Linked DNA regions of Daphnia pulex. Each later gene encodes a partner of the first gene's protein in a complex. Links are inferred from orthologs where the notes say so. Each region holds a gene or a part of one and is shown in the gene's direction. Other genes may lie near its edges.

What was found.
Region 2: U4/U6.U5 tri-snRNP-associated protein 2-like (region 1) and U6 snRNA-associated Sm-like protein LSm7 share a complex: the UniProt entries of both Homo sapiens proteins name them as parts of the U4/U6-U5 tri-snRNP complex. The link is inferred for Daphnia pulex from reciprocal best matches to the Homo sapiens genes USP39 and LSM7.
Region 3: U4/U6.U5 tri-snRNP-associated protein 2-like (region 1) and U6 snRNA-associated Sm-like protein LSm8 share a complex: the UniProt entries of both Homo sapiens proteins name them as parts of the U4/U6-U5 tri-snRNP complex. The link is inferred for Daphnia pulex from reciprocal best matches to the Homo sapiens genes USP39 and LSM8.
Region 4: U4/U6.U5 tri-snRNP-associated protein 2-like (region 1) and thioredoxin-like protein 4A share a complex: the UniProt entries of both Homo sapiens proteins name them as parts of the U4/U6-U5 tri-snRNP complex. The link is inferred for Daphnia pulex from reciprocal best matches to the Homo sapiens genes USP39 and TXNL4A.
Region 5: U4/U6.U5 tri-snRNP-associated protein 2-like (region 1) and U6 snRNA-associated Sm-like protein LSm4 share a complex: the UniProt entries of both Homo sapiens proteins name them as parts of the U4/U6-U5 tri-snRNP complex. The link is inferred for Daphnia pulex from reciprocal best matches to the Homo sapiens genes USP39 and LSM4.

Annotation. Positions count from the first base shown.
Region 1 is NC_060025.1:1,777,351-1,784,346, forward strand, and holds U4/U6.U5 tri-snRNP-associated protein 2-like, read left to right. Parts: upstream 1-3,127; 5' UTR 3,128-3,258; coding exon 3,259-3,334; intron 3,335-3,414; coding exon 3,415-3,561; intron 3,562-3,621; coding exon 3,622-3,911; intron 3,912-3,968; coding exon 3,969-4,194; intron 4,195-4,262; coding exon 4,263-4,549; intron 4,550-4,617; coding exon 4,618-4,808; intron 4,809-4,868; coding exon 4,869-5,004; intron 5,005-5,068; coding exon 5,069-5,155; intron 5,156-5,216; coding exon 5,217-5,264; 3' UTR 5,265-5,321; downstream 5,322-6,996. Other genes in the region: uncharacterized protein LOC124202305, read right to left, coding at 9-156, 222-301, 377-507, 577-628; uncharacterized protein LOC124202306, read right to left, coding at 1,043-1,089, 1,163-1,259, 1,328-1,444, 1,517-1,612, 1,678-1,825, 1,896-1,975, 2,050-2,180, 2,271-2,322; protein PRRC2C-like, read right to left, coding at 6,195-6,996.
Region 2 is NC_060025.1:133,974-139,688, reverse strand, and holds U6 snRNA-associated Sm-like protein LSm7, read left to right. Parts: upstream 1-3,200; 5' UTR 3,201-3,290; coding exon 3,291-3,299; intron 3,300-3,534; coding exon 3,535-3,739; intron 3,740-3,816; coding exon 3,817-3,953; 3' UTR 3,954-4,320; downstream 4,321-5,715. Other genes in the region: XK-related protein 7-like, read left to right, coding at 795-1,171, 1,264-1,466, 1,549-1,782, 1,850-2,082, 2,152-2,388; myotubularin-related protein 10-B-like, read right to left, coding at 4,385-4,572, 4,641-5,715. UniProt on the Homo sapiens protein: Plays a role in pre-mRNA splicing as component of the U4/U6-U5 tri-snRNP complex that is involved in spliceosome assembly, and as component of the precatalytic spliceosome (spliceosome B complex).
Region 3 is NC_060019.1:329,821-334,921, forward strand, and holds U6 snRNA-associated Sm-like protein LSm8, read left to right. Parts: upstream 1-2,657; 5' UTR 2,658-2,736; coding exon 2,737-2,767; intron 2,768-2,829; coding exon 2,830-2,870; intron 2,871-2,951; coding exon 2,952-3,079; exon of another isoform or gene 3,080-3,145; coding exon 3,146-3,236; 3' UTR 3,237-3,288; downstream 3,289-5,101. Other genes in the region: alpha-ketoglutarate-dependent dioxygenase alkB homolog 7, mitochondrial-like, read right to left, coding at 1,137-1,266, 1,345-1,469, 1,535-1,702, 1,779-2,063; zinc finger protein 277-like, read right to left, coding at 3,300-3,386, 3,454-3,538, 3,601-4,301, 4,377-4,542, 4,604-4,800. UniProt on the Homo sapiens protein: Plays a role in pre-mRNA splicing as component of the U4/U6-U5 tri-snRNP complex that is involved in spliceosome assembly, and as component of the precatalytic spliceosome (spliceosome B complex).
Region 4 is NC_060018.1:1,946,471-1,951,673, forward strand, and holds thioredoxin-like protein 4A, read left to right. Parts: upstream 1-2,397; 5' UTR 2,398-2,529; coding exon 2,530-2,607; intron 2,608-2,664; coding exon 2,665-2,801; intron 2,802-2,865; coding exon 2,866-3,079; 3' UTR 3,080-3,144; downstream 3,145-5,203. Other genes in the region: polyprenol reductase-like, read right to left, coding at 704-796, 876-1,042, 1,100-1,222, 1,295-1,489, 1,556-1,704, 1,775-1,962; tyrosine-protein kinase CSK-like, read left to right, coding at 3,735-3,790, 3,871-4,090, 4,189-4,323, 4,392-4,528, 4,591-4,758, 4,821-5,016. UniProt on the Homo sapiens protein: Plays a role in pre-mRNA splicing as component of the U5 snRNP and U4/U6-U5 tri-snRNP complexes that are involved in spliceosome assembly, and as component of the precatalytic spliceosome (spliceosome B complex).
Region 5 is NC_060026.1:5,480,516-5,487,147, reverse strand, and holds U6 snRNA-associated Sm-like protein LSm4, read left to right. Parts: upstream 1-2,741; 5' UTR 2,742-2,886; coding exon 2,887-2,889; intron 2,890-2,955; coding exon 2,956-2,997; intron 2,998-3,056; coding exon 3,057-3,155; intron 3,156-3,270; coding exon 3,271-3,451; intron 3,452-4,299; coding exon 4,300-4,388; 3' UTR 4,389-4,570; downstream 4,571-6,632. UniProt on the Homo sapiens protein: Plays a role in pre-mRNA splicing as component of the U4/U6-U5 tri-snRNP complex that is involved in spliceosome assembly, and as component of the precatalytic spliceosome (spliceosome B complex).

The DNA of each region.
Region 1 (6,996 bases):
AAACTAACGTTGTTGATGCCGCAATCAGATTCAAAGAAAATGACAGTGTCAGTGTTGCTAAGAGTAGCGTCCCCAACACGGTGAATTGTTTCCATACCAGTAGCTAAACCATCGTGCAAATATACACCTCCGGTAACTCCAGGATATTCGTCCCATCTTATCAAGACACGTGAGATATTATTATTTGCAAAGCAATAAGTTATTCATAAATCAACACATACGTAAAGCTAAAGTCACCATCCGGAAGCGCAATGCGATCGTATCCTTGGATGACGATTTGTTCGCGAACTAAAGCCAACACCTGAGTTAAAAAAAAATGGATATTATTTTACACAATGAGATAACTTTGATTAACAAGAAATTTTTAAAATAATACTTCGTCCATGTAATCGTTGGCATTTCCCAATTCTCCACTACGAACTCGAGCCAAGAGTTTTCCTGTGGCCGGAAATTTAAGACTGAGAACAGGAGTATCTTGTTTAGAATCGGGTCGTCGAATACTAGCTCCTATGAAAATATAACAAATAGTTTAAATTGCATGCATAGGAATTCGTTTCAATATCAATAAAAACATACCGTGCGAATGTACGACGAGGCAAAGCAATGCGAGAACATATACTACTTTCATGGTGTAGGAAGAAAATCTCACTTTCTTGATGAAAGAAGACCAAGGCAATAACTACAAGAAACTGTTCAAAAACTGCGTACCAACAATAAATAGTCCATCAGCTAATCATGTCTATCAATCGAATCGAAAACGTACCAAACGGCCGGTTAGTGATAATAATGCAATAGACTGTTTTCGTAAGATTAAAATCGTGACGACAAACTAGACCAATATTTTTAAAAAGTATGCAGTGACGTTAAAGAGAAAACAAATAAGACTACACTACTATTGTAATTGAAATCCATATCGGGTGTTTGTGAATACAAATTTCGATTTCCCTGTATTTATTCACTACATACTAGCTAGGGAATGTTTCTTTTTTTTGTCTGGCTGTATTTCTTTAGCTTATCCACCGTAAATTGCGCTGGCAGTTTCTTAAATAAGGCTGGCGATTGTCGTTGGTGGGTTTCTTAGCGAGTCGACTAAAAAGGAAAAATTGTTGTGAACATTGATTAGAGGCGGTAATAAAGTCATTCCTATCGAACTTGGACCTACTGTAAGCTTGAAGTACAACGTTGATAAGGTTCGTAAGAGGACCTTCTATGAGCTCCTTGAAAAAGGGCTTCAGTAGGTTAAGGGCAAAATCGACAATCTATAAAGGCATTCAAAAATTATCAAACCAAATTGAGAATGCAGAACATGTTAAAGCTTCTCTTTTACGATTTCGGCGAGCCAATTAAAAATTCCCAAGCCTTGTATATCTGTGCTGATATGACCAATTTTCTTTAAATCAAAAACGTCGACAACAACAATTCCGGAGAGAATATCGATAGTAGACTGTAGAAATGAAAAGATGGTTAGTTAATTAGTTACTATGTGAATTGTTATTTAACGTAGAGAAAAGCAAACATGGAAGTAGAAGTTGATGTAATCGGCAGTTCCGGTCATCGAAGCGGTTGGTCCGATATCCATAAAAAGAATGCTAATGGCATAACCAAAAGCTCCCTATAAAGTTTTGCAAAACCGTTAATTTTTATTTCTGTTACGAGCGGGAAATAAATGAAACCTACATTGTTGATGCCGCAATCAGATTCAAAGAAAATGACAGTGTCAGTGTTGCTAAGAGTAGCGTCCCCAACACGGTGAATTGTTTCCAAACCAGTAGCCAAGCCATCGTGCAAAAAGACACCGCCATTTACGCCGGGGTAAGCATCCCATCTATTTAGGAAATTTCAGAAAATTCATATTTACTAAAAATAAAGTTGATTGTCAATTTTTCCCGTCATACGTAAAGCTAAAATCGCCATCTGGAAGCTGAATACGGTCGTATCCTAGCAGGACTATCTGCTCGCGAACTAAAGCCAAAACCTAAAATATAAAATGTTTTTAAAAAGACAAAATTCAGTAAATCAAAGAACGAAATTGAATTATATTACAAATACCTCGTCCATGTATTCATTGGCATTTCCTGCTTCCCCACTTCGAGCACGATTCATCAAATGTTCAGAGGCCGGAAAGGAAAGACGAAGAAGCGGCTCGCCTTTTCCAGAAACGGGGCGTCGAATTCCAGCACCTACCAAAAGTAATGACAAAATTAAAAATTATGGTCGTTAGAAATTTAGAATCAACCCAATCAAGGAACGAGTAACAAATATGAGCAAACCATTGGAAAGGGTAAAAAGGCAGAGCAAAGCGAAAATGCCAACCACTTTCATGACGAACGAACACAATTTCAGTTTAAAGTTAAAGAAAGAAACCGTGTCCTTTTGAGAAACAGAAAATGCAAACTGCACACGACCAATTTATACAAAAATTATTGGTCTATCAATGATTGGGCAATCGATCACTTCTTGATTAGAAAGTGATATAAATGGGTTTTTCAAAGATTATGATTGTGACATCGAACTTGATTTGACTAATCTGATAATCCGTATTGCGTGCTAAAATCAAAGGGCAAACAAAATTACCCAATGATTATATTTTTGTACACCTTCGAAGGACGAACTTATACAAAAAAAAACATTCTATTGAAAATGAATTACGAAATTCTAATTCACCAATTGCTTAGTTGATTTTTAGAAACCCGGAAATTGCTTGTTTCCGGGTTTATGGTTCAAGTAAGCAATTTGTATCCAGGCAGAAAAAATCTACACTATGCTGAACATCATTATCTGAACCATGAATATCGCTTTCAAAATATAGACTTCTGTTGACATAAGTTAATCAAGGTAAACAGAGTTCTGATAATACATCCAAACAAATTCGAGACAAACTCTAAACTTTGAGATGATTACACAACACCCAAGACCCAACAGCGTTACCAGACACAAAATAAGGGTTTTTTAGTTAGTTATCAGGATAGTAATTCAAACGATAAAAAATAGTAGCCCCATCTTGTACAAATAATTATTTACTTGACGCATGACCATGATAATCAAACGAAATTTTGAATCGCGTTACAAGATTTGAATGAAGTAGTTCACGCCATCTACAGGACAATAATTCTACTTTTTCGTTTACCGGCATTAACGCGTTGCATTCGTTTTATGTGTCTGCTATCCTTTCCGTAACTCTGCATTCGAGTTTCCTTAATTCTTAAACAATAAGAAAAGCTGTCAATTTTGGCTCTTGGGGTAAATATCTTTTCAAAAATGGGGACGGAAAAGAGTGATATAAAGCGCAAACATGAAGATTTCGATGATGAAGACGAACCCGTCGTGAAAACAAGTATTGTTGTCACTATCCACAAAACCAAATAATAAATATAGTGCAATCCGTGTAACAACTTTTACTGATAAAAATTCTAGGAGAACCAATTGCCAAATCTCGTTTGTGTCCTTATTTGGACACAATAAACAGGACAGTTTTGGATTTTGATTTTGAAAAACTCTGTTCAGTCTCGCTCACAAGGATTAATGTCTATGCATGTTTGGTGTGTGGGAAATACTTTCAAGGTAAATTTGAAGTTAAACAGCAATATTCACATATTTTAAATTGTTTCAAATGAATTCTAGGAAGAGGCCCCAGCACACATGCATATCTTCACAGTGTGGGAGAGGGACATCATGTTTTTTTGAACCTTCACACCCTAAGATTCTATTGTCTGCCAGACAACTATGAAATCATTGATTCATCACTCGATGATATCAAATATGTCTTGAATCCAACATTCAAAAAAGCAAATATTGCAGTGTTGGATGTCATTGATAAAGTATCTAGGTCTTGTGATGGTACTCTTTACCGTCCTGGAGTAGTTGGACTCAATAACATCAAAGCTAATGATTACTGCAATGTAGTCCTACAGGTAATGAAGTAGTAAACTATAAATTAAAATAATAAACTTTACTTACTTTTGTATTAGGCTTTATCTCATGTTGTTCCACTACGCGATTACTTTCTCAGGGAAGAGAACTACATTGGTATCAAGCGTCCTCCTGGAGACAATAACGTCATCTTAGTTCAGCGTTTTGGTGAATTGATTCGTAAGCTTTGGAATCCACGCAACTTTAAGGCTCACGTTTCCCCCCACGAGATGCTCCAGGCTGTCGTTCTGTGCAGTAAAAAGAAATTCCAAATTACAAGCCAGGGTAATATTAAATTATGAGAATTGTTATTAAAATTTTACCTTGCTAATTCTTCATTTTCCATATTTCAGGTGATCCAGTGGAATTTCTTTCGTGGTTTTTAAACGCGTTGCATCTGGCATTAAACGGTACCAAGAAGCCAACTTCTTCAATCATCTACAAATCTTTTTTGGGAGCAATGAAAATTCATTCTCAGCGAATCCCACCCATCGATGCCACTGATACAGAAAAGGATGCACTGATGTTGACTGCCGAATACGTCGAAACATTTGTCGATTCGCCTTTCCTTTTTCTGGCAGCCGACTTGCCTCCCCCTCCTCTGTTCAAAGATGAATTTCGCGAAAACATCATTCCACAGGTTTGCCAAAATCAATTAGCTTGTAGCATTAATTAAAAGCTAGATCGAGTCTTTTGTTGATTTTTCAGGTATCTCTGTTTGCATTGCTGTCTCAATTCAATGGAGTCCAGCAAAAGGAATACAAGACCTACAAGGAAAATTTTTTGAAGAGATTCGAATTGACAAAACTGCCACGTTACATTATTCTCAACATCAAGAGATTCACGAAGAACACGTTTTTCATAGAAAAGAATCCCACCATCATAAACTTCCCCATCAGGTAAATAAAATTACCACACCATTTTTTGTTGACTGTTACAAAATTGAGATGTGCTTTTAGGGGTGTGGATTTTGGCGATATTCTAGGTGCAGATGTTCGCGCCAAACACGGATGTACCACATACGATCTGTTAGCCAATATTGTACATGATGGAGAACCAACCAAGGGAACTTATCGTGTTCACATACTTCATAAGGTAAATTCGTTTTATTGTTGACCAATAATCACAATAAACTTCACGAGTCAATTGCTTCTATTAGGCGACAGGAAAATGGTTTGAAATGCAAGATCTGCACGTGACAGAAATTCTTCCGCAGATGATCACTCTCACAGAAGCTTACATTCAGGTAGAAAAAAAAATACAATAAAACGTTATTATGTCCCATTTAAAATGTTCAAACATTTTAGATATGGGAACAATCTACGGAAAGAAGCGACGTTGAAATGTCCAACTGAAATTTCTGTCAAAAGTGTAAAACCCGAGTTGAAATAAATATTCAAATTCGTACTAAAGCATTAATGTGAGACTTCTTATTGGATTGAATAAAATTAACACACCACGTCGCGAGGAAAACGAACCATGTTTGATTACACAAGATGCAATAATACACAACTTATTTCGTTTTTTTTTGTTTCATTTATCTTGCTCCAAACGATGTTGTGTGGCAAAACAGGGAAAAAGGAGTGATTTGTTTAATTAAGAGAGAAGAAGTGGGTTTGAGAATGCAGAGCAAAATAAAGAAATCTTGAAACAAACACGTAAGAGACAACCCCCAAAGAGGACAGAAGGGATGAAAAAATAAAGGGTCGTAGTGAAAAATTAGATTCACACCGCGCAATCAAATTGTCCTTCATGAATTCCGCTCGTTTGCTACTCTTTTTCCCTTACATACACTCGCACAAAGTTTCTTCAAAAATCAGACCAGCATTCGATCGAATTCAAATAGCTTATTTTTTTGCGGTGAGCAGCGGTGGGGTGATTTTTATTTTATGCTACAAAAAATTGGAAAACGGCCAAAAGTTGGAAGGACGAAAAAAAATTAGGAGAAACAATTGGTGGGCCTTTTTTTTTAGCTTTGTCGCGAATAAACGAGGTGTGTGTGCGGGAACAAGAAAAAAGTGATCAGTCGGGGAAAAAGTACAAAGGATCAAAGAAGGAAAAAGGGGAGTTTAGGGCGGCAGCTGCAGGGCTAGCAGAAGACGACAAATGTCCGGTACAAAAGGACAAGTTATCTTCTTACGCTCTTTAATTTTTTCCCCGTGCGTCAGCTTTGCAAAAAGAAAGTCTGTGTGAAATCTTCCACTCAGGAAACCGAGTCCTTCAAACGAAAAACTTGCACAGCACTTTTTTTTAAGTTTTTTTTTTCTTTTACTATCTCCTCAAATTCACTTGGCGGCGGAAGCGACAGAACCGTCGGCTTTAGCACTGCTGTCCTTGTTGCTTGATTCACTCGAACCAGGCTTCGTAGAAGCATCTGACGCGTTATTACCTCCTTTCCGTTGAGGCTTATCATCGGCCGAAGACGTTGCCGCGCTGGCCGAAGTGGTTGCCGTAGTCGGAGTAGTCGAAGCGTTGCTGCTACTAGCTGGAGTCGATTTGTCGTGTTGCTGATTTGCCGTCATCGCATAACTATTTGATGCGTTGCTCTTCATCTGAGATGGATGACCAGGTGCCGAACCCGAGCCGGGAATTCGAGCCGGATGAGGGTTGGGGGCTCTAGGTCGGGCTCCCAAGCCACCTACAGGGGCTCCGGGAGGGCCACTAGAATGCATGGGCGGTGGAGGATGTTGCTGCATGTTGCCTGTAGGAGCAGTCGGTCGCTGAATTGGTGTCGGATACCGAGGAGCATTGTTGCCCGTGCTTCCGCCGGAACTCATCATGTTATTGGAGTTGTTCCCTGATGTTTGCTGAGGCGGTGGAGCGCTTCGGACGGAAACGTAAGATGTTCGAATCGAGGGAGGGCCAGGGTAAGCACCACTCGAATGTGAGCTGCCCGGAAACTTGTTCATCGGATGAATTTGCTGCTGCTGCTGCTGCTGCTGCTGTTGTTGCTGCTGCTGTTGTTGCTGCTGATTGGCTGCTTGTTGTTGCTGAACCTTGTTCCTCGATTTGGGAGAGGTTCCGGAACCACCCTGTTGCTGCTGAACCATGTCTATTTTCTCTCCTCCACTCTGACTACTTCCAATG
Region 2 (5,715 bases), about 1.6 Mb from region 1:
TAAACAATTGACTTTCTCCTATACAATAACAAAAACAGAAATCGATATCAAATCAGTAACAATATATTACTTTTAAATTTTTCACCTGAATGAACAGTCCAGCACCAGCAGTTGCTTCCAAATTTACATTTTTTGGCCCACATAATGGGCATGTCAGTTTTCAAAACGTTGTTTGTTGACAATAAGTTGTCGCCATTCCTCGCCAGGGGATGCTAGTCACTAAACATCGACTATCGTTCGCAACCAATCGATCGATTCAAATCCAATTGATTTGCAGGACAAAAAATTCAAAAAACGACAACAACAAAAATTATTCCTTTTTGATAGAATAAAAATATACTACACAGTTAATGAACGTGATATTAAGTAAACGTATTTAATGAATAAAAGGAGAAGGAGAATTGCGAAAGAAAGGCATTCGTATCTGTTTGTTAAAGGCAATTGATAGTTCTTATCTGTTTGTTAAACTGTTGCACAAGTGATGAAATTCCAAAGGAGCCCTACATTATGTGACGCCCCGTATTCTGCTATTTATCTAATCACAATGTGTTCCTTGAATTTCATTAGTGTATCGGCTTTGCTTCTGGCCAAACTACCTTATTATAGTCTTAGTTTTCTTTTGCATCTGTCTGGATACGTTAGCTGGTATGTGTATAGTGTTGTACAACCGTAGTGGCAATACCGTTTAATTGCCATTTGATCCAGCGCAACACGACCTGCCCACTCATAACCCTTTCGTCGCGTTGCTGTGTGCAAGAGAAACGGTCGTGAGGACTTGTGTTGACAACAGAAAAATGGGAGTTGTTAAAAAAAGAAAACACTCAACTTCCCCCACCGTGGAACCGAGTCAAGAAGATTCAAAGAAGTTTGAAGATCGCTGCAGAGACAATCTTAAAATTGCCAACTTGAATTGGTTGATCTGCTCAAACTGCCTTTCATTAATTTTTTACGTCTGTCACATTGGTTGGAATGTTAATTGGCTGATTTTCAAGCAAGAAAAAGATTGGTGGTACTTGGGGTTTTGGTTAACTTCCGCGGTTATTGTGACTGTTAGAAGTTTCCTGTTTTACAATGACAACAAAACCTGTGGCCCCCGTGATCGTTTGCCAGAGGAATCCCATGTGGCTAGGTGGAGCAAGTGGGTCCTCGGTTTGGTCTGTCCTATTCCGAGGTAGTATAATATGTTCCAAAAAGAATTTTCAATTTGACTTAATTGTAAGTTGATGCAACGTTATTTTGGGGTTGAAAATCTCTCTCGTACAGGTATTGGGATTTAATTAAATATGCCCGCCTAGCGAAACAAGCCATTGAAAATGACGACGCCTCCAAGAACATTTATTTTAGCGCTATGATTTGGGAAGATGCCGAGTTACTACAACTGCGCCAATTTGACAGTTTCATGGAATCTGCGCCTCAATTATTGCTCAAACTTTACATCGCCCTAAAAGGAGGATCCCATTTTGGAGGTTTTTACTTATTCTTATATTATAATTACAGCTGTTACCATTGAAAAAATGATTGAAAATGATCCATCTTGTATTTTAATAGTTTTTTCGGTGATTTTCAAAATCTTCACTGTCGTCAGCTTGGCATGGACATTGGTCTCGTACGATCAAAAAATCTGTTTAATGGACGGTGTGAAGAAAAGTGGCAATTCGAACCAACGCAACCGATCAAACGGCATCACCATAGACTACAACAATGATGCAGCAATTAATTGTATTAAAGACGTAAACTGGACAAATAGCGCCATTCTATGTTTAGCTAATTTCTTGTGGATAGGTAAATTACTTAAATTACTTCATTTTTATCAATAGAAAACCTTTTTAAATTACTTTTTTAACGTTAGTTGGCCGACTCATGGCCTTAAGTTTGTTCGCATCGGCTTACGGCTGGATTATTTGGCCCGTCTGCCTTGCCCACTTGATCCCAATTTTCATTTGGCATTTGGAAACAAATTACAATTTCATGGACTCGTTGAGATTGTCATTTCTCCACCTTTTCGCTTATTTGTACCCCACAAAAAAGGCAGGAGAAAAGGAGCCCACACACCCTCGATTCTCACCTGCCATGTATCAGTCGGTGAGTTAACAATTCTTGATTTAAAAAATTTATGCATTTAACTATATTATCGATTTGATGGGGTCATAGGTCTGCTTGTGCGAGAATGTGATCCTTATGATCCTGTGGATGGAAAGTTTGAGCAAAGGCGATGATTGGGATATAATAAGGCTTTACTGGATCATTCAGTTTGTGACGACTCTTACCAGTTTCGCATTGTTTTGGTGGGTTAAAGAAATCAACAAAATGCTGCGGGAACGCGACACTAGCCCAACTCAAACAGAAAACCAGCCGACATCAGAAACAGCCTTAACCTTATCGCCATAAATTGTTGATTTTCTAACATGGCCATAACCTTATTTGCTCCTGTTTAATTGTCACGTTAAGAGTGATCTTGACTTTAATACAGAATCACACCTCTATCTGCCACCTCTGCTGTAACTTGTAAGCTGACAGTATGAAAGTCTCTATCTAATGACATGTAACATTTTTCTCTTACAGTTTTTAACCTTAAGGAATGGTAGATCATTTGATTGACACTTACCCCAAGACAAAGTGATTGGCTGGACTCAATTGGATTCCATTATTCAAAAGTGGCAGCTGGCAGGATCAGACTCAACGATACAGCAGAGCAGGCTACTATCCAGGATCAGTTCAATTTTAACCTGAAGAAAAAAGATTTCCCATTTAAAAAACTCGTTTACTGTTCGGTGTAGATAGACAGAAAATTTGAAATATCAAAAGAATCGTTCTTTTCAGATTGTCAGGCCGCGACGACTAAGATGAGTGGAGGGAATCGTGATAGGAATCTATCAAATATCGTATTGTTCTTTTTGTTGTTGGCATTCAATAAATTGACCAGCTCCTCATGAACACCAATACAGTGTCGGAATAGTATCAAGTAATCTGATTTCGTCTTATAGAATTCAAATCAAGCAGAGTTACATCGAAACTTGACTCATCATATTGCCTGCAAATGTGGGACCGTTGCCAGTCCATCTCCGGTCCAAACTGATGAGGCTTTCAATAAATCCACAGTAAAAAAAAACGCCATCTAAAATATTCAATGAATGGAAAAATAATTATAAAGAAAAGATTTGAAAAAAAGAGTGGTTAAAATATTCATTGAAATCAATATTTGGCACCGGTGCTGCGCTATTCCGATTTTGATTTTTACAACATTGCAGACGACTCTATTGTTTTCTGTACACCAAACCCAAACGGCAAAAATGGCAGCCGTAAGTATTTAATTTACTAAATGAATTAGTGGTCTATAATCCCAAGACATGAAATGACAAGCACTGAATATATTTAAGCTATGAATAATGTCTGAAAAACATTGATCTGCCTGTCGTAAATTGGGTACAATTAATAGCAATGCGTCACGTCACTCATGGCTTTTATTGGCTACTGCTTTAGAATTACATCATTCTGGGTTTTGCTAATAACGTTATTCATTTCCTTTCTTTTTAGCAAAAGGTCGATAAATCCACACCGGCAACAGGTAGCCCAGCAGATTTAAAGGAGAAGAAGAAGGAAAGAATCTTGGACTTGTCCCGTTACATGGACAAGTTGATCAGAGTCAAGTTTACCGGAGGCAGAGAGGCAGCTGGTATACTTAAAGGTTACGATCCTCTACTCAACATTGTCCTGGACAACACGGTAGAATATCTAAGAGGTAAGACTTGAGAACTACCACAAATTGTATGTGAAACAAGATTGACTTAAAATTCCTGTTATGTCTTGTATTTCTAGATTCGGAAGATTCATTCAAGTTGTCAGAAGACACCAGACAGTTGGGCTTGGTGGTTTGTCGTGGAACAGCTGTTGTTCTCATCTGCCCTGCTGACGGTATGGAAGCCATTGCCAACCCTTTCATTCAACCAGAATAATTGATTTTTTTTTTCTAAATTGAACCAATGATCATTTGTCTGTGTGTTGTTTCCCAATTTTCCAATAATAAAAGAACGAGAAAAAGGTGAAATAGTATAATAATATTATTAAAATCCTTCAAAAAAACGGATAGGTAAAAGAACACGGATCGACAATGATAATAATACGATGATTTGAATAAATGATTCAATTTTTATGCAATTATATAGCAGTAATGCAAAACAGAATTATATTTTTAGAAGGCGATTAGAAAAGAGCCTACGAAGGTCGAATTCATATTTATGTACTTTTAAGTGTAGGAAAATTGGAGAGGCACCGTCTCATCTTTCTGTGTGAATGTCACAACATTCGGCCGTCAAACGAACTGGACAACGTGAAATGAATCGAGAGGAAAATTCTAAAGGCAATGATAATAACTGATGTTCAAATCTCAATCGGTGACAAAAGAGTCGGAATCGAATTCAGCTTCGACGGCCCGACTTCCAGTCGAACGGAGTGTGGAGCCGGAAATGACGGGCGAAGGAACAATTTCCCACTCGCCGAATGACAAGGCAGAATCGTTTTGTTGCTGGACGAACGGGTGGAAGCTGCTCAGCGTCACCTGACTTCCAGGTTGGCCTGAATAAGAAATCAAAATTAAGAAAAAACAAACAAACAATTGAAAGTGAGTCGACAGCGGTTGATACCCGGTGAATGGTCGCTCATGGTGACGAAACGTTGACTTGGCGACGAAGAAATGTCCGCCTCGCCATTGTTACTCAAGTCGTGCTGCAACTGGCACTGGTGCAATTTGTCCAGCTGCGATTCTAGACTGAGAATGTCGTTGACCAAGGCGCAGTGATGGAAATAGACGGGCGGATGTCCACCACCGCGGACGTCGAGAACCGGAATCCACCGCAAGTAGCACTGACTCCACAGACGGAAGTCGACGAAGGAATCGGCCACCGGGAGCATCGAATAAACGGGCCAGTCCAGTTCGTGGTAGGGAATGTCTCCTCCGTCAGGCCCTGGATCCTTGCCCGGCTTGAATTCCTCCCACTCCTTACCCAGGTCCAGCTTCAACGGTTTACTGTTGGGTTCCAGTTTGATGGGGTAACTGGGAATCGGATCGTAAACGGCCGCTCCGTAGACTGTCCACCTCTGCTGAGTTTGCGGATGATTTCCCAGGTCGACGATGCCCCTGGACGCTCTGTAAGTGACGGCCGACGAATCGTGGTGACTGCTGGACATGAGCGGCATTTCCATCCCTTCCTCGATGGATGAGATCTGCTGTTGGTGAGGAGAGAAAGAGCGGCCGTGACTGTGGAAAAGAGCCCCGCGGATTCGCTTCCAGCGGCTACTTCCGCTTCCTCCGCCTTCGCTGTTACCACCGCCGCCGGCCCGACTCAGAGTTCCCACGGAATTTCCGCCGTGGTGTTCGGGTAAGGCGGCCAAACCGAATCGGCTGCCCCAACTGCGGCCCAGCGTGTCCGTTTTCTTGTTCTCGGCCGCCCCGTACTCGGTGGCTCTCAGAGCGGAAATGCTTCCGGAAATGCTGTTGCGTCTGGGTCGAGTGCCGCCTCCGCCACCACCGTCGTTGTGCGAGGCCAATCCAGGGATCCAGCGCGGGACCAGGTTGTTGACATTGTGGTAATTGGCCGCCGGAATTCCTTTGCGCTGTCGATAAGCTGCGACTCGACAGGTGATGCTGAAAAGCGGATTGAGAAAAAGGCCAATGTCGACATCGTGGAACTGAGACGACCAGTCCCAGACGGACCGTGA
Region 3 (5,101 bases), on another chromosome or scaffold:
CACCCAAAAATTCAAAAGAGAAAAAAAAAACCATTTTAAAATATTTCGTGAAATTAAAGCAAAAGAAAGAAAGTCAAACAGAAAGTTTTTCTCAAAAGAATTCAGAGACAATTTTTTTCAAAAAACAAAATTGGAAGCAATAAAAAAGAGAAATTTACGTCGGTGTGTTGGGACCGCGCGCGGTGGAAATCAGAGAAGCGTTAATGATCTGGTTTTGTGTGACACATGTTGTGTGGGTCTCTCTTCATCAAAATAATTTTTAAAAGGGAATGAACGCCACCCAAGAATAGCCGCGACCAAATCTAATAAATCTTGTAACCAATTATTTGATATTTCTTAAAGTCGATATCACATTCCTCGACAAAATCCGGATTTGGGTTTCACATTGACAAAACAAGAAGAAGTTTCTTTTTTTTTTCTCCCATCATCTTGTATATATGTACACGTCTGTGCCCGGCGGGACGAACCCGCAAGCCGCACCTCAACGTGCCAGGCGAAACAAGAAGACGAGGGGAGGATATCATTCACCGTCAAAGAAGCTCAGCAGCAGCAGCAACAGCAGCGAGATAGGCAACACAAGGAGAGAGAGAGCCACCAAAAGAACTCTTGTTAGGTTATACAACATTGTCTCAAAACAAGATAAGAACCCCCCACTACCACCCGAAGAAAAACGAACACGATAATCAAAAAAGGGAGAAAGCGGAATGATTGCGTCTCAAGGTTCACGCCCGCTTTCAACATCCCTCTTGAGCTGAAACTCGTCGGAGGGTCTCAATGCAACAACTTAAAGTTCCGCTATAGAAAAACAAAGGGAAGAAAAAATAAAACGTGTCTGTCATTTCACATTTTCTGCGGAGGCGTAAAAGAGTCTTATCAGTGTCGGGTGACGAGGATGGATTCGGGATAGCATCATCCATCATATTCTCTTCCACCGGAATTTTTCTTTATTATTCTCTTTCGAATATAAAATCGATTGCTGCCAATCACGTCACGCCCACTACATGTTTCCCGAGCTTGGCCTTTTTTAAAAACTTAAGTGACTTAAATGGCTATTGTATGGATCAACGATAAGTACAAATAAGGACTGTCTACTTGGGCATATCTACCAAATCGTGTTTACAACAGTACTGCATCCATTATGATGATGGCGGTGGTGGACTACGGCAGATTACAGAGATACGCCTAGTTTTCGTGACTTTCTCTCCCCGGAAGAAGGATTCGCTATTGTTCAGAATTTCGTGATTAAATTCGTATCTAGCAAAGTCCCTGCAATAACAAAGAGAGAGACAGAAATTTAGATAGAGTTATATATCACGATGGGCTCTATTTTGCATAGATAATTACTTCATTATATACAATGATCTTCTCGGTAATAGTGCCGTGACCAAGACTTGGGGTCGCTGTATATGTATGAGCCTCATCACACTGGCTGTGAGCAGAGATATGCCCGATATGGTGGGGCCACAAAACTATGTTTAGAGAAATATACGAATAGATTAGAATGATAATTTCCAAACGCTGTCATCTATCATACCTTTATGCTGTCCAGATGTGGTTTGATGTGACCATTCTCAGCTAAATCAAGCACATGGACATGCTGCATCGTGGTAGTTGAAAAGGCAAAAGCTCTCAACCGATTTATAACACAGTCATTGACTTGATTCCAAGTAGGTTTCTCTGTTTCCCTGTATCCGTGGATAGCCTTTTGGGTTTCGAATAACAAATGGTGGTCATTCAACAGTCAGACAACCTACGTGAACACGAAATTTCAGACTTACATCATCCCAATGGTCATACTGATACCGGGACCTTTTGAACTTCACCTCCAACTCTTCCAATAGGTTATTCTCTTCTTCAGCACTGATGAAATCTTTGTAGACTTGAAAGTCTTTCTCAAGCATTTGCCTCGTCGCTTCATCGCAGTCGGGAGAGAATTCTAAATTTGGAGAGATCCCGCGGGTCTCTGCGGGAGTTGAGCATGTGCTTCTTGAATGGGAACAAGTAGCACTTAAAGGAATTGCGCGCTTCAAAACTGCACGAATATTGACCAGATAAAGCACCATATCTCGATGCTAAAATATTCAACCATTAAAAGTCGGACATCAAAATATTTCAAATCGGCAATTTTCTGCAAAGAGCAGACGACGTTTGCGTGTGTGTACGTGACATGCCATATTTCGTTTTGATTGCAATCAAATGTAAAAAATGATGTCATTAAAAATGACAGACGGTACTTTATTTAATGGACATGTATATTTAAAATAAATAGATTTAACAAAATTGGGCTGGGGTTAGTCACGCTAATATATTATTTCGTTTAATGTTAATACCTCAAAACCGACCAAATAAAGAATTATACCGCATAATGGAAATGTAGGGCCTATCTGATTTTCAAATTTATTTGATGGCCAAAGAAAACGATTCATCAAAACTCTAGCCTGCTGAGTTCTTCTCCTCACCAACCATTTGATTAACGTCTCGGGAAAATAGCCTCAGGCACCCCTTCTCGATTTCTTTAGTCTTTTTCAAATAACCAATTTCCATACATAAACAAAAATTATATTACTCTATCGAAATCATTAATCACTGAAACATAAGTTTACTACAGTTTGTATGAATTAAATCTGAATAGAATGAATGAAAATACTTTGTTGATATTAAAGTAAAATAAACGGCAACGCTGTATTGCAGACGATTTTTACAAGCCAAATACAAAGTGAAGCGAGTGAAGAAATCATGGCATCAACGTTAGATTCTTACGTTAATCGTGAGTTTTAATTATTATATTGTTTATTATTCACTGAAAAATTGTATCTTTCTTGTTCGCAGGTTCCGTATGTGTTATCACGAGTGATGGGAGGAATTTTATTGTAAGTTGTAACGCCCGATCACAAGGCATCATCCTCACTCAATAAACCGTTTGAAATAATTTCAATGTATTCTTTTTACAGGGTATTCTTAAAGGATTCGATCAGACTATCAACCTTATCATTGACGACAGTCATGAGAGAGTGTTTAGTTCTACCCAGGGAGTTGAACAAGTCCAACTGGGACTGCACATCATCAGAGGAGACAATGTGTATGTTTCATCCACTTATTAGCTGTAAAATAACTCAATCATAACTATTTCTTGTTGTAATTTCAGAGTTTTAATTGGGGAAATTGATAATGAACTTGATTCCAGACTCAATTTATCAGAAATAAGAGCAGAACCACTAGCTCAAATCCACCATTAAAGTTTGCATTATTCCATCATGATCACTTGAAATACAATCTTTTTTACAGCTTTGTAGAATCATTCATTTTTTTACAATTAGCTCTAGTTTAAGCAGTTCTTCTTCAACTACTTTAAGGTTTATGATGGTGTCTTCAGGGATCACTGTTACCTAATTAAATGAAAAATCATGAAAACAAGTTTTTACATTAATAAAAATCAGACTTAATATAATTTACTTGGTCGGTTTCAGTAGAATCATCTGGAATGGTATCTTCTAGCAAACAAAGAAGAGCATCATTTTCATAGGTTGGAAAGTAGTACCTAAAAGTTTATCCAATAAAATAGGATCCACAAATAGAAAATTTTGAATGTATCCGGCTTACTGTGACTGATCCCAAACTGCCCGATCGGGAAGTTTAAAGTGACTGAAGTTTTGCATGTGCTCTCTCAGTTTATCCCGGGATTCAAACTGCTCATCGCAAAGTATGCATTTCTTTTCATGCACTTGTCTCCTGACGTAGTTGACAATCTTAATTTGCTGATAGATACTAAAGCTCTTTTTCAGGCCCAGAAAATCAAAGTTACTGTGAGATGCAATATGTTGGGATAAAACATCTGGTGCACTTGATTGAAAATCACAGAATAAGCAAATAGCTTCAGTCTCTGGCTCAAACCAGTCAGACCAATCTTCATTTTGGCAGTATTCATCAAATTCATCCATTATTTCCTTCCATGATTTTCCAGGCTCAAGGTAGTTCACCAAGTAAAATTTATCATATTCCTTATTGTGTGGGTTGATTTTCTTGTGGATTTTCTTTCTCATGTGCTCCTTCAACACAGTCCTATCCTTGAATGTTTTCTCGCAGTATAGGCAGATGTTCTGGGCTAACTTTTCATCTAGCAAATTTAAGAATTCTTCAACAAATACAATGTTGTCTGGAAGCCCAACACTAAAGTTATGATCAAAGTTCATGTGATCAAACAGGACTTTACGGTTTCCTGTGAAAATTTTACGACAGAAGAGACAAGAATGTGAGAACTCTTCATCTTTTCTTTCTTTCTGTTGTTGTTTTAAAACAAGGTTCTGTAAACAAAAATGTCAAAACAGTCAATAATAACCTAAAAGTAGGCCAAGCAACAAATGAATTATTCCACTAACCAATTTCTCTTTTTGCAGTTTCTCTCGCAGATTTTGATCTTCTGGGAGTTCATGTGCCAACATGAAATATTCCTCCTTTTCACCTTTTTCATTTTCTGCTTCCATGACAAAGCAATAGGCTTTAGGATCACATTCCCTAAACTTTGGTCTCCAGTAATCCACATATCTGATTTAAAAAGGGAAAATTACAAGTCAAAATTGGCAGTAATAAAACAGCAAATAAAAACCTTTTAAGATCAACAATTTCCTTGACGTCGGCAACAACCAATTTGTGAGTGAGTAAGAAGTGAGCAAGGATTTGATCATTTGACGACTTCAAATCAAACATTTCTGAGCAAAACAGACATTCACATAGAGTTGAAACAACCGACTCTTCTTGGACTTGTTTGTCGGGGAATGTCAGAGGCTCTAGAATAGGATTCATTTTTGCAGAAAACCAATTGACACTGCGTTATAATCATTAGTTTGCCCTCTTGCCAACACTTTTGTAAACCGACGTCTTGACTAAAAACCCACATTACTCGTCTGCTTCTATTATGAAACTCGGACGCCATCTACCGCAAAGAAAATTCTTTATATTCATTTTGTGTGTGTGTACAAAAACGCGCATTCTTTTCTGAGTGTGTATAACAATAATAAAGAAAACCCGGAAAATATCTAATAAATGTGTTGACTACCAAGTCAAAAAGACTAGACTCTTGATAACCAAATAATCGTACCTATGG
Region 4 (5,203 bases), on another chromosome or scaffold:
AAGGCGACACTAGCGACATCTGGTAATGAGTTTTGAAGTTGGTTGCACAGTCGCAGCTCAAATTATCGGAGTTCTACTGTCGAGCACTGGAGTTCTATTGTCGGGTATTTTTAATAATATTGAAACCAACTAAGGATTCAAAACTTCTTTAACTATGACAAAATGTTCAGCTTAACGACTAATTTTGAAAGCGATTAAAACAAACTTGTGATAACCAGATCCGAGATGGTGAGATCGACCTGACTAGTCTACAGAATCTCTATGTTTAACAAATCACGCCACCTTCTTACCTTTATTGATGCACCGGTTTCGGTAGACTGTCTTTTTACGTAGATTTTTTATGCAGAAAGAAGAATCAGAAAGCAAGAACATGATAAAGATAAGTTGTCTGGGATTTGAGTTATAGACTTTCTTTATCGTCACCGGCTACAAAATTCGACCGGGCTGATGAAAAATCACAAATGGACCGTGTGGTAGGGAACGTACTGGCGCGCTATCAGAGACCAGGTTGCGATCTTTTCGGAATCGACATGCCGTGTAATTAAAAGCAGCCAATATTCGCTCAATTGTACCTTGACTCTGGAATTGCCTTATTATTACAACAATCACTACGGTACTTAATTAACATTTTTTTTAATCATAGGAAAAAAAATGCATTATGCCTTAAAGGAATTGTAATTTTTGACGTCGTTTTCCAAAGTAATCAGTAAATGAAAGGAATAATTGCTTTTCTTGTTTTAGGAAATTCCTTGAATTTGGATTTATACCAATTATGGGTCATGGTAGCAGTCATGATCTGCAAGTATGAAAAGATAAAAATTAACCAGATTTACATGGTTAAGCAACAATTTCTGAGAAAATTTTATCAAACATACCTGGTTTGTTAAAACCCAAAATGTTATCAGTGCCCAGGGATAATGATTAAAGCCCAGTATAATGTATAGAGAGACATAAATAATGATTTCACAGAGAAAATTTGGACAGGAGACATAGTTAAAAAGTCCGTTTTGAGGAAGACTATGTTTTTGCTTATTTTTTGGATCTAAAAATAAATGAAACTTTCACTGAATTATAAGTTTGAATCAAAAAAATTCTTTACCTTTCCTTAAATTTGCTAAGGATACATGTGCAATATATTGATGATAGTAGGCAAGAGTAAACAAAATTATGCCAAAAATGGGTTGTAAAGGGATATCATTGCTATTTGGTATCCATACAAAATCTAGATTGTTCAACAATAAATTAAAGAAAAGATTATCATGTAATGGGAAAATATTGTGTTGGTAACACCTACCATTTGTACTGGAATAGTCAGCTGAGTATGAAAGTATGACAGTGGCACACCCCCAATAATGTAGATAGCCAACTAAATAATGGCCAAGGTTCATTTTTGAATCAGCAAAAACAGTGACACACAAACATTCATACAACCTCCTGGATGTTTGCAGGAAAAAAAGTACAGCAGCTAATAGTGATAACTCAGGGCTAGCTTTATAAATAGACAATATTTTAACAATACAGAATGAATAAAATTTTGTTAAAATTGTTCAGTTACCTAAAGGATTGTGAGTGTATGGTGATACAAAACTAATGTATGAGGTTACAAGCGTAGATAATTGATTCTTCAACACAATCTTCCACATCATTGTTATGAGAACCAGGAATGTATAGAATACTCCAAACACATAAAAGTGTGTAAACCAACTTAATTTAGCAGATTAAAATAAATTTTTAATTTTAATTGTAAAGGAATCAGCAGTAGTAACTTTAATACCTCTTCGGAATAAGGATAGTTCTGATTGAACTGCCAAATACCTTACCTTCACAACTTTTCCCATAAGAGTAGAGATCAATTATAATCTTTGGTATCCACTTAGTATCAACAACAAACACAAGAATACCAAGAATGGAACTCATGCTCAACAAAATAAAGATGGTAATAACAATGCTTATTGTGATCATGGCCGGTGTTGAGACTATTGGCTATCTTGAAGGAATGGCTGAGTTATTAATTCGTTTAGATTGAAAGCATAGTCGGTTTTCAACAGGTTATGTAAAAAGAGATTTGATTTTACGTAAAAGCACAACTGGTTTTTCGGGTTTCTGAAGGCGACCCCGTGCCATGAAGTCTGAACGAAAAATTGAAAACAAATGATAAGAGGAAGGGGGCCAGGGGGGGAATTCGAAAGTATTGCCACTTGCCAGATCTTAAGAATAATCCCTTATTAGAAATAAATTTTATTTTACTTTTAAAATGTTTTATTAGTAAAACTTTAAATATTTTATAGTTAACTATACACATTTTTATACTGTTAAATATGTTTATATTCCTTGGGAGTTGGGAATGAATTTGTAAAGAAAGTGGATGAAAATTTCACACACAGATGTCGTGTTACTCGTGAAGTTGACAGACGCATTATTTACCTTTTTCGGGTTTCTGAAAGGAAAGGTTTGAAAACGTGAAGCGAGATCTATTTCTAAGCACTGTTCAGCTTTTTCTTTTTTCACGACCTTTATCAATCAAACAATATGTCTTACATGTTACAGCATCTTGTTAATGGTTGGCAAGTAGATCAAGCAATTCTTTCAGAAGAGGACCGTTTAGTGGTAAATCAAACTTTCTCTAGTTAATATTACTATCAATTTAAACATGCTTTACTACAGGTTATTCGTTTTGGTCATGATTGGGACCCAACTTGCATGAAAATGGATGAAGTGCTTTATCAAATTGCAGAGAAAGTCAAGAACTTTGCTGTCATCTATTTAGTGGATATCACCCAAGTTCCTGACTTCAATAAGATGTAATTTCATATTTACATTGTATGAATGAATCCCAATAATGATTTTCACTGTTTTTCTATATAGGTACGAGTTGTATGATCCTTGCACAAACATGTTTTTCTTCCGTAACAAACACATTATGATAGATTTAGGCACTGGTAACAACAATAAAATCAACTGGGCAATAGAAGATAAACAAGAAATGATTGACATTGTGGAAACAGTCTATCGTGGAGCCAGAAAAGGTCGAGGTTTGGTTGTTTCACCGAAAGATTATTCTACCAAATATCGCTATTAACTGTGTTGTTCAATTAAATGACACTGGATTAAAAACTAATAAATGATGACACTTTTGAATCCCCATTTTCATAAATTGTTTGTCTCATAAATTGACCATCAAGTAAACACATCGTACAACAATCGTTACAACAATTACATTATATTACTTACGGTTAGGTTTCCGAACAGTGATTTAACTTACCATGAAAATTTATTTCAATTATTTTATATTTTACGTATACCGTACGTAGTTATTAGCAGGTAACGAATACTTCCCAAAAAGAACTCGAGATAGAGTGACATGTCCATTTAGTTTAAACTTAAGCCACTAGGTGCTCGACACTATGGCGGCAGTCTGTTTCCTGCCTGTTTCTTGTTTCGCCCCGTCAGATTAAATGAATGTAACCGTTTCAATAGCTCGGTTAGAACAATGTGTCATATACCCCTAAGTGAAGACATCAAAACTTTTTACTTATGAATGTGCTGATCCCCATGAAAGTACCATAAAGTGAAGAGGATAACAGGTGTTTACAGCCGGTGGCCGTCCAACAACGAACTTGTACTTATTGAACTCCGTGTGCACCACTGTATATTTTTGTTGCCTTTGAGGTGTGTCTGAAACGGTTTTATCTTCCTTTAAAGGTATAAGTGTGAAATTGAACTACTCTTAGTGAATGCCTTCAAACAACGAAATGAACAAGAAACTAGAAGTAAAACTTCATGCAATGCCGTAAGTGTCACAGCCTTTCCCATTACCATCATTCAATATCATGCTGTTGATCATTAACTATGCTTGTTTTTCTTTTTCAGCTGGTTCCATGGGAAAATTTCAAGGGAACAAGCAGAAAACCTGCTACAACCAAGAGAAGATGGTCTTTTCTTGGTTCGTGAGTCTACCAATTATCCTGGAGACTACACTCTCTGTGTCAGTTATCAAGGGGAGGTTCAACATTACAGAGTCATATACAAAGATAACAAACTGACCATTGATGAAGAGGAGTTCTTTTCTACCTTGGCAGAGCTTGTTGAAGTAAGCTCTATTCTGCTTTTATTAATTAAAACTAGGAAGTTTTAGGTTTATGACTATCTGAATGGCTAATATTGATTTTTCTTTTGAACAATATTTAGCATTATGAAAAGGATGCAGATGGACTTTGTACCCGTCTTGAGAGGAGTGTTGCTAAACAGGGCAAAACGGACTTCTGTGTTGATCGAAAGGACTTTGAGGAAGCAGGCTGGATCATTCAAGAAAAAGATCTCCAAGTAAAAGAAGAAAAAAACACCTCAAACATTAGCCAGTTTTCACTAAATTAGTTTTCCCCTTTAAATAGCTTAAGGAGTCAATAGGGAAAGGAGAATTTGGTGATGTGATGCTAGGTTCTTTTAAAGGAGAAAAAGTAGCTGTTAAAATATTGAAAGATTCAAGCAAAGCAGCACAAAAATTTCTTGCTGAAGCATCAGTAATGACGTAAGTAGGAAACATTTTACAAATTTTCCTTAAATAATAACATCTTCAATTCTGGGATATAGATCTTTACGTCACCCGAATCTAGTTCAACTACTTGGCTTGGTGTTCAACGATCAGCATCAGCACCTCTACCTGGTCACAGAATTTATGAGTAAAGGAAGTTTAGTAGATTACCTTCGCTCAAGAGGCCGGTTACATGTCACCAAACGAGATCAAATCAAATTTGCCTAGTAATATTACTTTCTTGTCGTATTGTTATACGAACCTCATTTATTCATTTATACCTCCGTAGTGATACCTGTTCAGGAATGGAATATCTTGAATCGAAAAAAGTTGTTCATCGAGACTTGGCGGCCCGAAACGTCTTGGTCGCTGAGACCGGAGATGCTAAAGTTTGTGATTTTGGATTGGCTCGCGAAGAAATATACAATCAAGAGGGAGGCAAGTTCCCCATCAAATGGACAGCACCAGAGGCATTGAGACATAGTGTAAGTATAGTTTCCATTCGAATTTGCTTATTGAGATGGGTTATCTAATTCAAATATTTCTCAGTTAATGCCCAATGATTTAAATGCTGTAAAGAAACCTTTTGCAGAAGTACTTAGTTTTTTTTCAGTTTTTAACAAACTAGGAAGATTTTTTTACCTTTGTTTTTAACAAACTAGGAAGATTCAT
Region 5 (6,632 bases), on another chromosome or scaffold:
GCCTTATTGTCTTAAGTCGGAGAGGCCATGTTGTTCTAGAACTAATTAGTGGTAATTGATCTTCTATTTTTTTTAACTTTAATTTCCAACTTAGCAAGACATTTCATTTTATCTATGTTTTTTACTCTTGGCACTATTTTACTTACTGTACTACGCTTTGGTTGTTTCACAGCCACTTGAAACAGAATGATCGGATGATCAGAGTGACTGTTCTCGTTGGGAAAATGCCAATTTGAAATATTGGTATTATCACCTCTGAGAGTGACGTCCACCATCGCTGTTATCTGGGGAATGTATTCTAATTTGGAAACAGGAACGTTTGCTATATTTAACTTGTTTTGGTCAGTAAATGATTCCAGACACTCACCTCTTTTATCCGTAGACTTACTATTCCATAACTTATTTTTTGCGTTAGAATCCATGCCTATTATACAGACCGCTCTAAGTCAGGACCAGTCTTTATAAGATTCAAAAAATAATCTAGACTCAGAGACGGTCGGCAATATACAGAGAAAAAGTTTAGACCAGGGTATTTGTTTAAATGGACTCCTACACAATTATTTAGGTTTTGCACTGCTATATTTACAGCCATAAGAAATTTTGTAGCCAGAATTATTGCACCAAAAGCATGTTCTTTATTTAAGTTATGATGAACCGTATAATTACTAGGAATATTTGGTATAAGTAACTCATTATTAAATTTATTGGTTATGGCGTAAGGTTCTTGAATTAACGCTATGTCAATATCTAGCTCTACTCAAACTTGACTCAGGTTTAAGGATGCTACTTTACAGTGCTGCAGATTAATCTGTAAACATGAAAGTGATTTGTTATTGTGATTCATACTTTAGGCTAAGAGTTGTCTCAGTCTATCCACCACCTTAATGTGCGCTGAACATTGAAAGTCACCCGATTTGTGTGCACCTTTGCAATTCACGCATTTCATCTTGTTGTCTGGATGGATGCAGTCTTGTGTTTTGTGCGACTCTGCGAACCGGTCACAGATTTCTGCTGCCGATTTGTTTGTGCATTTAAACGTGACATGGCCCAGTTTTTTACATTTGTAACAATACGTCACCTCAAAATCCAGTTTAGCTTTTTCTACTCTATTCTCTTTTAACTCACCTGCGGCATTTTTAACTGATATTTTCCTAGCTTGGATTACTGCTTCTTCACACTTTTTGAATGTGCCATAAATCTTTGACGTGTCCTTTCTAATTCGAGAGCGGTTTGATTCTATTAATTTTACCACGTAATATTTCATTTCTAAACTCCATCTCTTTTTTAAGAACCTCTAGATTCTCTATCCCAGTCCCGAAGACTGCTATCGGGTACTCTATTTTGCGTTCTGAAACAGATTTTAAGGACGCCTCTATTTTTCCATCCGCTTCCATTAACTGTTTAGCCTTTTTGGCATCAGCGTCGTTATTAAACTTAAACCGAGCTATATTGTCTCTCTTAGTGAAAGACTGCAGCGTCAGATACTCCGAATTACTTTTAAAGAACTCATCCATAGCATCACCGATAAAATTGCTCGTGTCCACATCCGGATCTAGCTTAGCAATGATGGTGACCGACTTCGAGGCCACTGCCGCATAGGATTTACCTAGCTGCGAGTCCATTCCACTAGGTGGCTCATTCTCCTTAGTCGGCTGCCCATCACCGAATAACCCATTCAAGAACCTATTTGCAATTTTAACCTTGATGCTGGTTAGCTCACTTTCTATCTCTTTAGTATGACTGATAATGCACTCTTTCTCTTGAATGAGCGTCTCTCTTTCCTCTTTTAAATCCTTTATTAGTATATTATCATGTCTTCTCTCGACATGTCGGTCAGAGAATTCTGGCTATTGTTCTGTACACTAAGTGTACGTTTCCGTTTCTCACCATTGGTGCCACCAATACTTGATCTAGGTCTAGAGTACATTATTTTACACACCTCAGAGCAATAAAGATGATTTCCCTGCCATACTCCCTCCTATACGACGGAAATTCCGTCGTATAGGGGGTATATATTACACGAGCGAAGAAAGGCAACTTGCGTCACTTATTGATCAAGAAAAACTGAAGGTATATTTTTTAAAATAATTTAATGTCGTAGTGAATAGTGATCTAGTAACCACTACTTTGCCATTCATTTAGGCTATCAAACGACCAGTTGGAATAGCTTTTATAACCTTCGCCTCAAACATTCAAGCAGCGAGGGTAAGCCAAGATCATAGGCCCAATTGGCGATGTGGATCAATCCCAGAAAGCTCGAGCCTGATTGTTATCTTTAAGCCTCACCGTTGGTCCGTTGATTTTGCTCCACGTCCAGATGAGATCAATTGGTAACTAGATTAAATTAATTAAGGTTAATTCAAGTTCTATAATTATCCTCTGTCGTATAGGAGGGAGTATAGGATTAGTCAAGCATAAAATAATTTCTAGTTCGGCTATACGCCACAGTGGTACGCATTGGCGTAAGCTTCGCACGACTTTTGGCTATGTCGCGTACTTTTGAATTGCAATAAGATCTATTCGGCTGCGTCAATAGTCAATACAATACGTGTTACTGATGTATCGCGAATAACGTTCAGGATCAGCGCAGTGTTAATGGTTTATTTTACGTTACGTTTTTACGGGTTTATACGTTAATGGATTATTGGTCCTGATTGATCTTGTCCATTCGGAACCGTTCCGAACACAGCCGCCTATTTTATAACATTTCCCAACACACCCGCTGTGGCGCGGTGTAAAGGATTGGCCGATCGCACGATAGATGGTGTTTCTGCTTCATAAATCTTTGATCTTTGATTTCCATTTTCCAACCACTTAAAACCTAGGAGAAACCTTTTTCTTAATTATTAATTGGAACATATCGAGAACAATAATATTAAATCAATTATGGTAACTATTGAGTTTTGTGCTTCATACCGAATCATCGAAGATTAATTTAATTATTTATTTATCTAGTTACCTTTGTCGCTACTACGTACAGCCCAGAATCATCCCATGGTAAGCATTTTTTACTTTTGTTATTTACAGCAATAAAACTAGTGTTTCAATATTTACAGTTAGTGGAATTGAAAAATGGGGAGACTTACAATGGCCACTTGGTGAGTTGTGATAACTGGATGAACATCAATCTACGAGAAGTAATTTGCACCTCCAAGGTAAAGTACTTTCATTTAAGATAGTTCCGTCATCTGTATCTGTCAGTGATATTCTTGAATACGATCATAAGGTTTTACATATAATATTTAATGAACAAAAATACAATTTCTTTAGGATGGTGACAGATTTTGGAGAATGCCTGAGTGTTACATTAGAGGCAGTACCATCAAATATCTTCGAATTCCAGATGAAGTCATTGATATGGTTAAGGAAGAAGTAGTTGCAAAAGGTCGTGGTCGCAGTGATGGTAAAGGAAGAGGTGGAGCCCAAAGAGGAGGCAGAGGTGGTAGTAGAGGTATGTTTTAAATGCCAAAATTTTCTCACTCATTATCAATTAAGTTAATGGGGTATACAAAACAATTTTATTCGTAGTCTTAATATTGTTTTAGTCATGAATATTATTGAACAAGTACCAAGTTATAACAGTATTATACAAAATTTTCTGATAATGGTCCAATGGGATAAATATAGTACAATCACTTAATGCTCAAATGATTGTACAATAACTAATGTATGTTTGACTTCTTGTTAATCTCATTATTCTAGAATCATGTTCAGTATATCGTAGCTTTATTTTTAAATTACGTCGTTTCGTGTCATTTGACGAATGAATAGCTAAACATCCTATCTGCACATTCAGGAATGCCTGCTCTTATGGTTTAAAAATGAAATCTATCTACTATGTAGAGGTTTATAATTTGTTTTTTATTGATTATTATTTCAAGAGGTACATGCCGCGTCTCTTACTTGAATACTGATAATAAATTAATTTTAATATTAATTAAAAATAGGAATTTATAAAATTAATTATTTAATCTTTTCACGTTTTTTTATATTTTATTTTAACCTTCCAAAAAAAGTTTACAGTTTAATGAAGTATAGTACTACCTAGGTAATGTTTCTCAGTCGTGTACATTATTATAACTTACATTATTTCCTTTTACTAAGCGTTAGCTTATCGCAGCTACACGAATGTGCGTCAAACTCAAATTAATAGTTAATGATTGATTGAATCGATGGGATTATTTTAATTTTATTATTTAATATTTTTATTTTAAAACATATAGGCTTCGTTGACGTATAATATGGAGCATGCATATTCCTATTGATATGATATAAAATTATTCTTGTGTTGACCATCAGGTTCTTTTGGTGCTTCAAGAGGTCGAGGCGCGCCGTCGGGACGAGGTGGTGGTGGTGGTGGTGGCAATAATAAACCCCGTGGAAAGTAAATAAACTTGTCAGAATGAATGTATGAAAATAAAAATATGGCCAAGTCTTGATTTATTCGAGACGCTTTCTGTTTTGATAAAAAGATGGAAGCACTTATCTCATTCTTTCTCTTCACATTAATTTTACATGCTTAAAATAAGCCCATAAAACCTTTAGGCTGAAATACACCAAGAAACTGAAATATTTAGAAGAGAAGAAGCCCTTGTGGACTTGTAATAACACGCTGCACCTTCAGCTGTTTTGCTGCATATTTCATAAGTCAGTAGGTGCGGCGTAGTAAGAGTGGATGTGTCGGATCGTTCGTTGCCAACTGGCAAAGCGACAGCGAAAATCGTTGTTAGCACAGAAGATTCAGATGCCCATTTTTAATAACGAATGAAAACAAATGTTTTGTTTTTGCAGAAAGTTCGGCGCGCTTAATAAATGTCAAATGTGTATACATATTTTGAAGCATGAAAGTTTTTCGTTTGTTATAGATACTTTCTGCGTTATAGATACTTTGAACTTGAATGCTCACCAAATTCAGTACAAAAGCAAAAGCCATACCACTAATTTTAGAGCGACACCATAATACATCTTCCATTTTCTCGCTCAGTTGCATTCGAACGTAAAATACAATTAGCTCGTAATTACGATTTAGTTCTTAATTATTTGTCAGACGTTTGCAATAGTAAATTCGCCTTGCGTATCCGGAGAAGAAAAAAAATATATAACAATAGATAACCGATGGAAGAGAGATCTCTTGCTGCTAAGGAATCTACGGGGTGATAGACACACGAGAAAACCCAGGAGATGCAATTAGTTCTCCAATCTCCATTTCTCTCCTGTGCCTATGCACGGATACAACAGCAACGAGATGCCCGGAGCCAGCCAGCGCAGCCCCTGCTGTTCGCGCAGCCAAGCCCAACTTGGGCTTTCATCTCTCTTCGTTTTCGACATTTTCTTTCTTTCCTCCCTCACTCTCTCTTTCTTGTCCCTCCCTACCTTGAACCGAACCAGCAATTGACTCTTGTTTTAAGGGCCAAACACATTTTAACTTTGCCAGTCCTAAACCCACAGGAAACTCCCTGACGAAAAGAATGGCTAATATAGAACAGTTAATTGATCTCACAATAAAGTCATTTTCTTCTACTATACCATCTATTCAAGGCCTATTTATTATGTTCACCTTGAAGGAGAGTATTTATATGCGACGTTGTCAGACTCGAGTAGGGGTGAAAAGTGTTAATCATTAACCTTGAATTACACCAAAAAAGGAACCAGTTACTATAAATTAAATCGACGCATAACATTCAAAAGCGCCATTCAAGCAAAGGGCCTCGATAATAAATTAAATGTTGTTTTTCCGAGGCATAGTCAAGTTGCGTTCTTCCACTAGGCGATACCCGGCGATACCCTCTAGTAAAGGGCAACATCCTCTCTTCTGACTTGATATGGGGACAAAATCATGACACTAGAAACTCGTGAATAGAGCGTTAGTCGAAATCCTTCGCTAAAGACCTTTTATTGAATGGAGAAAAAAAGTTTAGTGAATAGCTTCAAGGAATTTTCGTAGAAGCGCCTTTTTCTAAGTCGTACGGAAGGGTGAAAAAGCTATAAGCCCCTATGAAAAAAGGCCTATTCCAGTGCGAGGGGATTTCAGTTGGAAAATAGAAACGAAATGAAACGATGGGGAAACGAAGGGCTTGAAGCTGCTGCTGCTGTCTGGGGGTCTGCTGGTTTAGTGAGGGGGAAACAGATGCGAAGGGGAAGAGAACGTTACAAATAGGAGAGAGGGAAAAATAGGCCTCCCTTGTAAAAAATGAAAAAAAGTTCCGACTTTTGACGCCCAGTCAATAGATTTACTACGATGCTTTCTTTTTTTCGAGCTTTTCGTCTTTCCTACTTCTCAAATTCTCCCCCAAGAGATTGTAAAGAAAATGATTCCTTCTTTGTTTCCAGTTTTCCACTTCTTTCGAATGCCGTAGGATCTTCGCTCTGCATTGTCTTTTATACAGCATTCCCAGAATAGCCCAAACTGACCAAGTGAATGAATTAACCTCCTATATACGTGAACTAAAGTTTTTGTGTGTGCCAATTGTTGTTGATTGGGGTGGGGGGATTATCTGTGTGAAAGACAGCAAAAGGTAGCCTGAGAAAAATTGGTTTCGCATTCCTCGAATGGGTCAATTGTTATTGTAGTGGGGTAGAAAATGTGACCGCCAGATGGCACTGGATGCGCAGTCGGGCAGTCGCGCGCTGCC